2 linked regions of the Drosophila melanogaster genome follow. The protein of the gene in region 2 interacts with the protein of the main gene of each other region in a pairwise test. Each region holds a gene or a part of one and is shown on either strand. Other genes may lie near its edges.

Region 1 (7,404 bases), on a different chromosome or scaffold from region 2:
CAAATGGATATATTTTGATTAAAGCCAAATACTTAAGTCCTTGTGTTTGTATTTATTTTTGTATGATTGCAATATTCTGACTATATTTTATATAGATTATGAATTGCTGGGTGGGAGATATTCTGATTGTCTAATTCGCTTTTGATTATAAAGGATTTTGAAACATAATAATCATATAATATGGATAGAACGTGAAGTTCTTTAACGAGAAAGTGTGACTCTTTCGAGCACGTACTACACTTTATGCTTTGTATTTACATATATTTTATTATTTTTATAGTTTATTATGAACCCACTGGAAGTGTACCGCTTATCATCTAGAGACCCGCCTACCGTTATCATCCTTGCTGCTACTGCCGACGCTAGCAGAGGCAGAGACGGCGGCAGAGGCAGAGGCTGTGACGACAGCGACGGCGTTATTGATCAGTGGTGCGATTTCCATAATATTTATTTAGATATCGGAGCTCCGTTTGTTTATGTAATACACTTTATTGGCTTTACTTTTTGTGTTTGTCTTTTTCGCAAAATATTTTTGTTTGTTTGTTAATTCACATTCGCGTCTCTCTCTGTCTGCACCAGTCTTTCGATACGCTTGTGTGTTTATGTGTGAGAGAGCGCAACTGTGTGTATGTGTGTGAGAGAGCGCAACTGTGTGTGGGTGTACGAATGTGAGTATGTGTGTGTAAGCGTTTTGTCACGTATTTTTACAACGGCGTTGCTTTTGTAGTAAATATGGCTGCCAAGTTTCGAAAATTTCTGCAATCGTCCGCTTTTGTCGCACGAATTTAAATTTCCAATGCAATTTTTGTACTTGTACTCTAGTTATTCCATCGGTTGCATTACATCCTTTTGCTATTGTTCTCTCGATTTTCGCTCTCTTTCCCTCAACATGTTTTGCATTTGCATTTAATTCTGTTGTTGCTATTGCTGTTTTTGTTGCTGTGTCGTCGTTTTTGTTATTGCTATAGTCGTTGTCGTTTTTGTTGTTTGTGTTCCACTCCATCCACAAAATAATTGAGTGCGCTCCACTTTGGTGCGAGGGAGACGGAAAATTCTTCGCACGCACACAGTCTCACGTTTTTCCGTTTTCTTTTCTCGCCCAGTTCACGTACTTTCCACTTTCCAATCTCAAATTATTATTTGCTCACCGAACTTTTTCGCGATCTAAATTGCCTTTATTTACACGTTGCACTTAAAATTAGCTACTATTTTGCACTATTTAACGGGCTTTTCAACTGCTCAAAACTCGCCTTCCTCTTCAGCGTCGCGTATAGAAATAGTATGAAATAAAAAATACCAGCATGCTGCTCACTAAGATACCAAAATATACCGTTTCTTTAGCGACCAGGGAAGCCAAATACAGTTGGCTCTGTGATAAATGTACTCTTACAAAGCCTGTCTTACGTTATTTGCTTATTTTTTCGGGAATATTAAAAGACAGTTTACTAATGAAAATTTTAAGAGATTATTATAATGATTTCAATAATTCACAGTTAGATTCCCTTCCGTTGCACTTACTTGTAGTTGTATACAAATAGTGTTTATTTTATTTTTAATTATTTAAAAATATGTGATCTCTTATTTTAATTTCGAAAAAAAATGTGAAGAGATATTTCAAACAGATCTCCTTAAAATTAGCTTACGTTTACGATTTAATAACAATATCGATATAACGAAATGTCCACCAAAGTATCACAATATAAATAAGTGTATTCTCAAAAATATCGATACACTGATATTGTTATGCATTTCTCACATCTCTATCGCCATACCAATCGTTTCGTGTTTCGACTTTTCCAGGCCAACCAAAAAACGATTTTTCCGTACTGAAAAGTGCAATTCGCGCAAGGAAAATCTTCGATGTGGTCCTTTTAAGCCATCAAGATTGCATTTTCGAAATTTTCCGCCTGCAGCTGGCCCTGGACGTGCTTTGTATCCGTAGAGAACAGAGACGCAAAGGTTGGGACACCAACATATACATCGAAATCTAAACCAACATCATCCGCGTGTGTGTGTGTGTGGTGTGTGCTTGTGGGTGGACCAGGTTACCTTTCAGTTTTAAGGTGTTCCATGGAGTGAATGTTGTAAAAGCGATTGAACATATATCACATGAATAAAAGAGATTTCAGTTTTAATTAAATTAGGTTGAAGATAATTCCACAAGCATATTATTGAACTAGAGAACTGTTTATCTTAACCATCGATTAACTCAACCTGCCAATTTGTTTACCAATTAAAGTACATGTTTTAATTTTAAAACTTAGCTATTTTAAGATTCAAAACAGAAGTTTCAAGTAACGATCTTTTAGCTTAAAGTTTCTAAATATTTAAGGATTATTAATATTTATTTTATATCATTTATACGAATGGTGGATTGTTAAACTTAACGTGTTGAATGAATACCTTAAATAACACTCGTATTAGTGTTAAGATGTTTCTTTAGTCGAAAGGTCCACCTTAGTATCCGCAGATCCGAAGTTGTGAATGTGTGCGTGTTACACAGCATGTCTGTGTGTGGGTGGTGCAAAAGGGCGGAGGACAAGAAAAATAAATCAGAATTTCCACATCCAGTGCCCAGAATATGAATTATTTGCATCAAAAATGTACAATTACTTAATTTATTAAGTAAACAGTCGCTTCAAGAAGATATTAAACGAAGCACAATGTCCTTGTAAATTGATTAGTTACTTACTTACTTATAATCGAGTTCAATGCCGCCCTTCTACGCCCTACCTACGCATTGATTTAATTTACTTTGACTTGACCATTAATCACTATTCTACTATATACTACCATTTCTGCCCACAGATAGACGCCGTGTGGGGTTGGGTTGCTTCCGGCCCGCTGCGCTTAGCAGCGAACAGAATGGGCGACCTGCCGGGCTCGGGCTCCACCGCTCAACCACGGGATGCTGGTAAGGATTTGATAGGAGCTTGGTTTGGAATTGGGAAGAGAGCAAGCCAGGGGCAACCTGTGTGCCTCATGTGACTTTAAATACTTCATATTTGTTCGTAAGACTATGATCTTTCAGCTAAAAAATACTATTAGAAAAGGTTTTTCCTTCATAAAAAAGTATTTGAACTCTCATTCACAATTCCAATTAATCGGTACCATTAAGTTTATTTGTACTATTCCAAACATATGGTATTTTTATACTCAAAATCATTATGTATGCCAACAGCTGTCACCGGTACCGGTGGTAATTCCACGGCTGGTGGCGGCTCCTCCGTTGGATCTACGGCAGTGGACCGACCTCCGTCGCCCGCCCGCCTCTCTCACACGTCCGAGAAACATCCGAAGGTCACGCTCACTGAACTAAATATGCTACGGCGCCATCGGGAGCTCTGCGATGTGGTGCTCAACGTGGGCGGACGGAAGATCTTTGCCCACCGGGTAATCCTGTCCGCCTGCAGCTCCTACTTCTGTGCCATGTTCACTGGCGAATTGGAGGAATCGCGCCAGACTGAGGTCACCATACGCGACATCGATGAGAATGCCATGGAGCTGCTCATCGACTTTTGTTACACCGCCCACATAATCGTCGAGGAGTCGAATGTCCAGACCCTCCTTCCCGCCGCCTGCCTGCTTCAACTGGTTGAGATTCAGGACATCTGCTGCGAGTTCCTCAAACGGCAATTGGATCCCACCAACTGCCTGGGCATACGCGCCTTTGCCGACACACACTCCTGCCGGGAACTTCTACGGATCGCCGACAAATTCACGCAGCACAACTTCCAGGAGGTGATGGAGAGCGAGGAGTTTCTGCTGCTCCCCGTCGGCCAGCTGGTGGACATCATTTGCAGCGACGAGCTAAACGTGCGCTCCGAGGAGCAGGTCTTCAACGCGGTCATGTCCTGGCTCAAGTACAATGTCGCCGAGCGGCGACAACATCTGGCACAGGTGAGCTACTGTAAACCATATCTGATTACTACTCACCGATTCCTACTTGTTCCGTTTGATAATTACTTTGGAATAATATAAACAGCTCAATTTTTAAGTATTGCAACTAATAAATAAATAATGAATTGATATTTTCGAATATTCTCAGGTGCTCCAACACGTCCGTCTGCCTCTGCTGTCGCCAAAGTTCCTGGTTGGCACGGTGGGCTCTGATCTCCTGGTGCGCAGCGACGAGGCCTGCCGGGATTTGGTGGATGAGGCTAAGAACTATCTGTTGCTTCCGCAGGAGCGACCGCTGATGCAGGGTCCACGCACCAGACCGCGAAAGCCAACTCGACGAGGCGAAGTCCTGTTCGCCGTGGGCGGTTGGTGTTCCGGCGATGCTATTGCCTCCGTGGAGCGTTTCGATCCTCAGACCAACGACTGGAAAATGGTCGCTCCCATGAGCAAACGACGCTGCGGAGTTGGCGTGGCCGTGTTAAATGATCTACTTTACGCCGTGGGCGGTCACGATGGCCAGAGCTATCTGAATAGCATCGAGCGTTATGATCCACAAACGAATCAATGGTCCTGCGACGTTGCGCCCACCACTTCCTGCCGCACCAGCGTCGGCGTGGCTGTGCTCGACGGCTTCTTGTACGCGGTGGGTGGCCAGGATGGCGTTCAATGTTTGAACCACGTGGAGCGCTACGATCCAAAAGAGAACAAATGGTCGAAAGTGGCACCGATGACAACAAGGCGACTGGGAGTGGCGGTAGCCGTGCTTGGAGGATTTCTCTACGCAATTGGCGGCTCCGATGGACAGTGCCCGTTGAACACCGTAGAGCGATATGATCCCAGGTAAATCATAAATAAAGCATTTAAAAGCTTTAGACGTACAAGTACATTTTCTATCGCTTGTAACAAATGACCTTAATGTACATTGCACTTGAACGTAGTATTTGTTTGATTTACATTGCCCCGATTTTATCATTACAGACACAACAAATGGGTAGCAGTCAGCCCGATGTCAACGCGACGCAAGCACCTGGGCTGTGCTGTGTTCAATAACTACATTTACGCCGTCGGCGGGCGAGACGATTGCATGGAGCTCTCGTCCGCCGAGCGCTACAATCCACTGACCAATACCTGGAGCCCCATCGTGGCCATGACCTCCCGCCGCAGTGGGGTGAGTTTTTGTTACACTTTTTCTCGGCGAATAGTATTGTATTAAATGAAATCGCACCATTTTAGGTTGGCCTGGCCGTCGTCAATGGACAGCTGTATGCTGTGGGCGGCTTTGATGGTTCCGCCTATTTGAAAACCATCGAGGTCTACGACCCAGAGACGAACCAATGGCGTTTGTGCGGCTGCATGAACTACCGCCGACTGGGCGGCGGCGTGGGCGTTATGCGTGCCCCTCAGACTGAGAACTATATGTGGTGCGAAAATAGTTTTAAGCAACCGAATTCCTGAAACTAACTCAACTCCCATCCCTTCCATTGCTGATGAAATGTTGTCTTGTCTCTCTTTTCCCCCCGAAAACATGCTAACAAATTCAGGATACGGAAAGATTCTGTTGTCTGATGGGAACAGCAGCCGACAACGTTGCCCTCGCAAACGTTGCCGCCGCCGCACTTCTACTAACAATATCCGCAATCGAAGCCAAATCTAATCGACTAAACAAAACATCTTTTCGCCCCATTGTCTACTAGCAGTGTAATCGCTTTGTATTAATTGTTAATTGTTTATTTGGTAGAGCCTAAAGCGCATGTTTGTTAGACTTTTCCGGAATAGTATTAGAGTTAGCATTGTTCCCACGTTCACCTGCAATAACACATCCCCATCACTCCTGTGCGTAATTATATATGATTCTACTGTATGTTAAGCAAGTATATTTTATAAATAACTTAATATCTAAATGTTGCCGGTGGTATTTCATGGAAATCGCTAGCTCATAACCATGCCTTCTTTCGAAAAAAACAAAACAAAATCAAATATTAACCTAGAAACGAATTCGATTAGTTGTAAATCCTTAAACGAAGAGCTCTAAAGTCAAGTAACAAATTGGTATTAAAATAATTTAGATTTAAGGAGTGAATTCAAGAAAGTTTGTCCGAAATTAAACATCACAATGGTGCAATATTTCGATCGACCAACTAAACGCTGTTGTTTAGTCAAGTACACTTTAAATCTTTGCAAACGTCTTCAATAATACCACGACTATATGAAGTGAACCGAATAATTGCAAAGAATTTAAAAAAATAATGAATATTCAGCCTGTCAAGCTTAAAAAAAAACCATTAAGGTAATCACACACACACACAATGAAGAAGTTAGACCTAGCCCAAGATAATTCAATAGTAACAATTAACAATTACGCAGCCGTAAGATCAACTTTAAGGTAATAAATTTTAATATTGTTAATCCTAGATCGTGTAAACCGGTAAGAGTTTTCGGCCGGAATCAGGTCAAGTTTTAAGATGACTTATTGTTAAACCAAGTTTGACCATCGAGCTGAATGAACCAACTCGAATTAATCGCTTAGATAAGGGAGTTAAAACACAAGTAGACTCTCAATAACAACACATTTTCTTTGTTGCCTTTTACACCAACACTATTAAACAATTATTTATTCAAAATTATTATTTATTACACGCTTTCGTATCTCATTTAGTTTATTTTAGGTGCACATTTATAAACTGTTGTTAAATCGAGCAAAAAGGAATGATCTTTGCTTCCAAATGATGAATAAGAATAGCATTTATAAAAAACCAAGCTTATTTATATTATAGCTTTAAGTCAAAATGGTCAACAATTATACAAAAATTCGCATACCACCCATTATGCGTAGTTAAAAAATAACATTTCCTAGTTGTGTTGAGTGGTAAAAGTGCTTAACGCAAATAATAGAAGTGTTAACCTAAGAAATGATCGTAAACCCGTGCTATGTATAAGAATATATAAAAATAAAAATATATCAAAATTAAGACACTTTGTTTCATTCAATACATTACAGCCAAGGGCGGAAATTGCTGCCAAAAAATAATTAAAAATAAATATCCAAGTGTACTATTTTGTATTATATTCTATAATTTATAAATTTGTAATGCAATCAATGTACCGTTACGCGGTACTGGTACGCATCGGTACAATAGTTACGATATTGGATCCTTTACCGATAGCCGATGCTCGAACCCGATTGTTTTTGTTTTAGGCCTTAATTCGCACACACTGATTTGGTGGCACTACACACATTTTGTTATTTTAAACATTTTTCAAGAAGTCAATATTATGATAACAATTTTATGAAAATAATTGAACTAAATGCATTCGGAACATTTCGATATACACTGCCGACCAGTGTGAACGCTTCGCGACGTGGAGAAACTTCAGGCACGTCAGCTATCGATAAATTAAAATGTGTATTCGATTAGCGTACGTTAAACAGCTGTTTATTCTGGCGCTCTTTCATACGTTCGCTGAAATAGTTTTGTATTTCTGGCCGGAAATGATGTCCCAAAT
Region 2 (5,295 bases):
GTAATACCTCCTTGAAGTTTAATTTATACATCAACTTTATCAGTCAAAACTTTGATTTCGTCTGACACTTTTTTCGATTACGATCCGTCGCCAATAATTGCGATAAATCTTATCAAGTCTTTTTGGGATTGGCGCTCAAATTTACAATATGGCCGTACATCCTACTTATGTATGTTTTTTAACTAATTAATCACCACAATGCAAAGTACTCTTTCTTTGTTGAGCCCATATGCACTCACATTTGCACCATGAATCATGTCAGTAGCTCGTTTCATGTAACAATTTCTACTTTGCCAGATTACGATGCGTTCGGAACAGGCAGATAAGAATTCGGCCCATCCAAGAAAGGCCTTGACAGTTCTACCCCAAAATAGAGATATCCTCGTGATATTAGAAGGAACCCAACAATATGCTCGTTCTTATCTTCTTATAGAAATTTGTGAATTCCCGTATCCAATGAAATCATTTTACTTAGTAAAATGATTTGTTAGGCCTTAAAAAAAAACAAAAACACCCGAACTATCAGTACCACAATTTAAGAGAGAACTCGTTATTATTTAACTTTATTAATTATGTATTTCTTTATCAAAAGAGCAGACTTTTTGTTTGTGACTGTCTTCAACATTAGATCCGTCTTTAACATTAGATCAGATCACCTGACACGGGAAACTCTCGTAGACTTTATACAATTCAAAAAAACCAAAATCGTTACTTGACACAAATATCATAACTAATGCATAAAATATGAAATGAGAGATATCTAAAATAGCTTGGCATATTTTCTTGGTAAAATAAATGTGTTAAATACAAAGAATGTAAAATGCAATAAATGATACATATATCAAAAATGGAATACCACGGTTACTTTAAGTGCTAGCATAACAAATTACAATAATAATTCAATATCTAGCCATTCGTTGCACATAATTTGGAGGGTTAAGAGGGTAAACAATGGATGGGAAATGGGCTGGGTTAGTTGCGAATTGGTTTATATGGTTTATAATCCAACATCAGTATTATCGTTTTCGTTAGTATGTAAATACAATTTGATTTTGTTCTATCGTGAATTTCAATTGGAAGCTTTTATGAGTTCTGTCCCACCACCTGCACGTAGTTGGCTGGAAAGAGTCCGTAGCGGTTCTTGCACAATCCCCTCCACCACCCATCGTCGATCTTCTCGATGTGGGTGATCACGTCATCTGGATCAAAGGATATCTCGTCGTCATCCGCCGCCTGGTAGTCGTACAGGGCAATGGCGTGGATTCCGGTGTCCTCCAGATAGTCGGCCAAATTGTCTGAGTTCGCGTAGATTGCCTCCTCGGGAACGGTTGCGGTGCCACTCGGAGCAACAGCCTCTGAAACGGTTCCATTCGTTGGTGGCAAGGGCGAGGCAGCCTTAATCTCGGCCTGGTTCTGGTACAGTGGCTCTTCTTCAACTACTGGCTCAGGATCGGCTTGAGGTTGCGGCTCAGGTTGGACTTGGACTTGGGCGTGGACTTCGGGTTGAGGCGTCGGCACATACACTGGTGATTGCGGCTCACTTCTGGGAGGCGTGTCCACGGTCTCAACCTCAATTTGGGGCACCACATCTGGTGGTGGAGCTGCAGCCTTGGCCACTGGAGCTGTTTCCGGCTCTCGAGCGGGGACCACTGTCGGAGTAGGAGCAACCGCAGCTGATGTTGTACTTGCCGTTGGCTCCTCCTTTGCTTCTAATTCTATTTTAACAGGCTGCGCCTTGGGAATGATAATGGGTTCCTTTCGTGCTGGAGGGGTTTCAGAAACAGGCGACTGCATCTGGTTAAATGCACTGATAGCATTGCCAATGCCACCGGTCCGACCTGTCTGGATGGCCGCCCTGCTGCCCTTTGGAGGCGGTGCTTCCGTCGAGGTACGAGGAGTGTTCTCGGCCACAGTCTTCTTGGCGGCTTCCTCCCGATCCCGCTTGTCCTTGGCCTCACGGAGACGTTTCTGTTCCTCGGCCCGCTTACGTGACTCCTCCTCGGAGTTTTTAGCCAGATTCTCGAACTTGGCACGCAAATTGGAAGGCTTGGCACCTTCGATGACTGGCTTGACCTTGTGGTCCACCTGGCTGGCGTGCTTCTGCGGAGCCTCTTTGTGGTCCCATCCCACCGCGGACTTGTCCTTTCGGTCCTCCTGAACGCCAAACTTGCCGCCAAAGCCCTTGGAGTAATCTTATGTTGGGAGAAGATATAAATAAAATAATCAGACATGAACATACTAAGAAAAAATCAATGAGAAATTCATTTCCGTTAGGTAACTTACCCTTCTGAGACTCGTGCTTCTCCACCTTCTCGATGTGATCCCAGCCCACGGCGGATTTATCCACCCGATCGGACTGCACTCCAAATTTGCCTCCGAAGCCGGTGGCGTAATCCTTCTGGGAGGCGTGCTTCTCGACCTTTTCGACGTGGTCCCAGCCCACGGCAGACTTGTCCTTGCGATCCTCTTGCACTCCGAACTTTCCCCCAAAACCATCGCTGTAGTCCTTCTGCGAGGCGTGCTTTCCCACCTTGCCCTGGTAGTCATGACCCACAGCCGACTTGTCCATGCGGTCCTTCTCAACGCCAAACTTGCCCCCGTATCCGTATCCTGCGTTCTGATCCTTCAGCAGCTGCTTCTTCTTGTCCAGATCGGCCTGCTCCGTCTCCTCGCGCAGCTTGTCCATGCTAAAAAGAATAAAGAAAGGGAACAATGAACCCGATACCCAGTGTTTCGAGAATTTCGGATGACTCACTCGATGGTGCCTGCTGTGCGACCGCTGCCGTCGATCGTCTTTGATCCCCAGCGCTGCTCCTGCTCACTGACATCGTTCACGAAGTCCGGATCCGTCTCCCAGTCGTCGTCCTCCGCGGAGGCTGCACTGGTGGCCTGAATCTGGTGACCGGCACTTGCCTTCCACATTCTTTTTACCGGTTTCTGGTCGCTGGTTACTCGCTTATCCTTATCTGCTGGGTAGATAGATAAACACCATGACGAGTGTGAGTAGTCGGGGCAGGTTTTCAGTTGCAGGGGCTCCGCTTCCGATTCGTGGCCCAGATAACAAGTCACAAAACACCGAAGAAGGGAGGGGCCGACAAAGCCGGATCGGGAACAAGATGCCACTGGCGCTCTATGTTCATATGTATACTCACATCCCGATGACTAACTCCTACTGCAAGAGGAACTTATGATCTGATGCCGCTAGGGATGTCTGCAAATTTCTGGGAGGAGAAGGGTTAAACAATTGATTCATAAAGAGACCAACAAACGGGAAACTAACTGAACTAAATTTCATTCGATACAATGGATGCATCGATATGCTACGAAAAGCCGATAAATTATTGTGATGAGCTTGACAAAAGGTAGTTGCTGCAGTTTTAGGGGCGCCCAATTTAAATGATTAAGAGATACAGTCGTGGTTCTTTTACTTTATTCGATAAGTCAATGCACCGATATATACTGCAGTACCAATATATGTGATCGTGATCAATAGAACTGAGTGCTCGGGCAAAAGGTATTTGATGTTATACCAAGTGGCGCCATAGTAATTTGTATAATTAATAAGATTCTGCCAGAACGGTAATTAACAGGTATAAGAGTTGACTTTTTTCATATAACCGCAAACATATCATCGATATATCGATAGTTTTGGATTTGAATTTGCTTCGATGTCGGCTGACAATTAACGTAATTGGTTTTTATATATAGTTATAAAAATACAAATAAAAATAGTTATAAAACGGCTTAGGAAGGAACAGGATATTTATTTAACTGTATTGCCCTAACGGCTGAATATTGAAGTCAAAGGTTACATTTTGAAATTCAATGCGTAATCAGATCTTATTTTCCCAATGTCGTCATTATCACAACGGAAATATCATGAATGTCTCAACAGCTTCCAATGCCGATGATTCATCCATCTCGGAACACTTTAGATTCTACGGTGTATACTATGACGACGCAGAAGATACCAGCTTCCAGTTAGGCGCTACCACCGAATATTTCCTAGCAACAACAACCTATCGCCGGTTGGTTCATCTCTAATCGACTTCCAGCGAGAGAGCGCGAGTATAAAAGCCAAAGACGGAGCGCAAACAGCTATGGTATTTATTCACATCGCTTGCAGTTCGCATCGTCTGACTTGTACGTTGAAAATCGAATATCATTGGTAAATCAAAAGGAATTTGTAGATAAAACTCATTGTTTACTCTCGCTGTGCCAGAAATCGCAAAAAATCAAGCGGAAAATCAGTCGGAAAAGTGAGAAAAGAAAGTGTGTGCTAAACACTCAAAGATAATTTTCATTTGTGCCATTCCAAAATGGGCATTTTGTAGAATTCTAGTTGTGGGTGCGGTATCGCGAGAATTCTCCAGAATCTTGTTTCTCTATTTACTTTATATTTCAATAATAAAAGCCTCGGGTGGGAGAAAAATTCAAAACCGAAAGATGACATCATCAAACTCAAAAGCAAAAGCCCCACTCTTTTGGCGTTTTCTCTCGCGACGCGTGTGACTTTTCTCATCTCCGACGAAATCTAAGTAAACTTTTCTGTTCCTTTCTTGCTTTCCCATTTTACGTAGGAATGAGAAGCGGAATTTTTCGAAATATCTCTATCCCCCAGTGCCCTGCTTAATTTAGTAATTCAATCAACTTCAATTGCCCGACAGGCACTTCAAACTACAGTAAGCACTGTGTATGAGCGCCTGTGCCTTGCTCAGCATTACTCACCGGAATCGGATGTGGCCACATTCCACCGTCCACAAAATATAGTAGTAGTGTACTCGAGGCCGTGCAATTATAGTAGAATAGGTGTGTCATCAAGGTTTATTACTAAGTGAATTGCTCAGTGCATTTGCAAAACATTTTTGAAACATTTCGAGGTACAGTCCATCGAGGTCTCCAAAAGAAGTTGGCAAAAGCTTTTGTTTATGGAGTTTTTCACACATGGTCACGAGCTATTCCAGTTTTTACACCTATATTATAATATCTCTTTTTTAAAGTCGTGCTCAGAGCTTAAAATTGACGTCACAAATCTGGTGAATCACTGAGTGCTGTAATTTCAATGTATCATCAGTCTATTTCAAGAACAACATTACCAGATACGCTATGCTAAAGCATATCTATCAATCTTGTTTTTTCCAGACCCCAACCACTTTTTATAATGAAACAAAAGAATTGTAATTAAGGGTGTTTTCAAACACAAATGTGTTTTCTACATTGAGGTCAAACTATTACGGAGAACTCCAATCAATATTTAGAGAGTCTAACCAATTATTATTGATTACATTATTCTCA

What was found. The genes of interacting proteins can lie anywhere in the genome.
Region 1: the proteins of Cortactin (region 2) and dbo interact in a two-hybrid assay, tested with the Drosophila melanogaster proteins (one large-scale study listed by BioGRID).

What each region holds. Positions count from the first base shown.
Region 1 is NT_037436.4:15,825,138-15,832,541, forward strand, and holds dbo (diablo), read left to right. Parts: upstream 1-1,750; 5' UTR 1,751-1,959; intron 1,960-2,808; 5' UTR 2,809-2,865; coding exon 2,866-2,914; intron 2,915-3,181; coding exon 3,182-3,900; intron 3,901-4,048; coding exon 4,049-4,740; intron 4,741-4,878; coding exon 4,879-5,068; intron 5,069-5,133; coding exon 5,134-5,355; 3' UTR 5,356-5,441; coding exon of another isoform or gene 5,442-5,466; 3' UTR 5,467-6,867; downstream 6,868-7,404. Other genes in the region: DCP2 (decapping protein 2), read right to left, coding at 334-442; CG12713 (uncharacterized protein), read left to right, coding at 7,391-7,404. UniProt on the Drosophila melanogaster protein: Probable substrate-specific adapter of an E3 ubiquitin-protein ligase complex which mediates the ubiquitination and subsequent proteasomal degradation of target proteins. May have a role in synapse differentiation and growth.
Region 2 is NT_033777.3:21,061,143-21,066,437, forward strand, and holds Cortactin (cortactin), read right to left. Parts: upstream 3,330-5,295; 5' UTR 3,281-3,329; exon of another isoform or gene 3,222-3,280; 5' UTR 3,153-3,221; intron 2,970-3,152; exon of another isoform or gene 2,967-2,969; 5' UTR 2,923-2,966; coding exon 2,756-2,922; intron 2,688-2,755; coding exon 2,284-2,687; intron 2,193-2,283; coding exon 1,084-2,192; 3' UTR 538-1,083; downstream 1-537.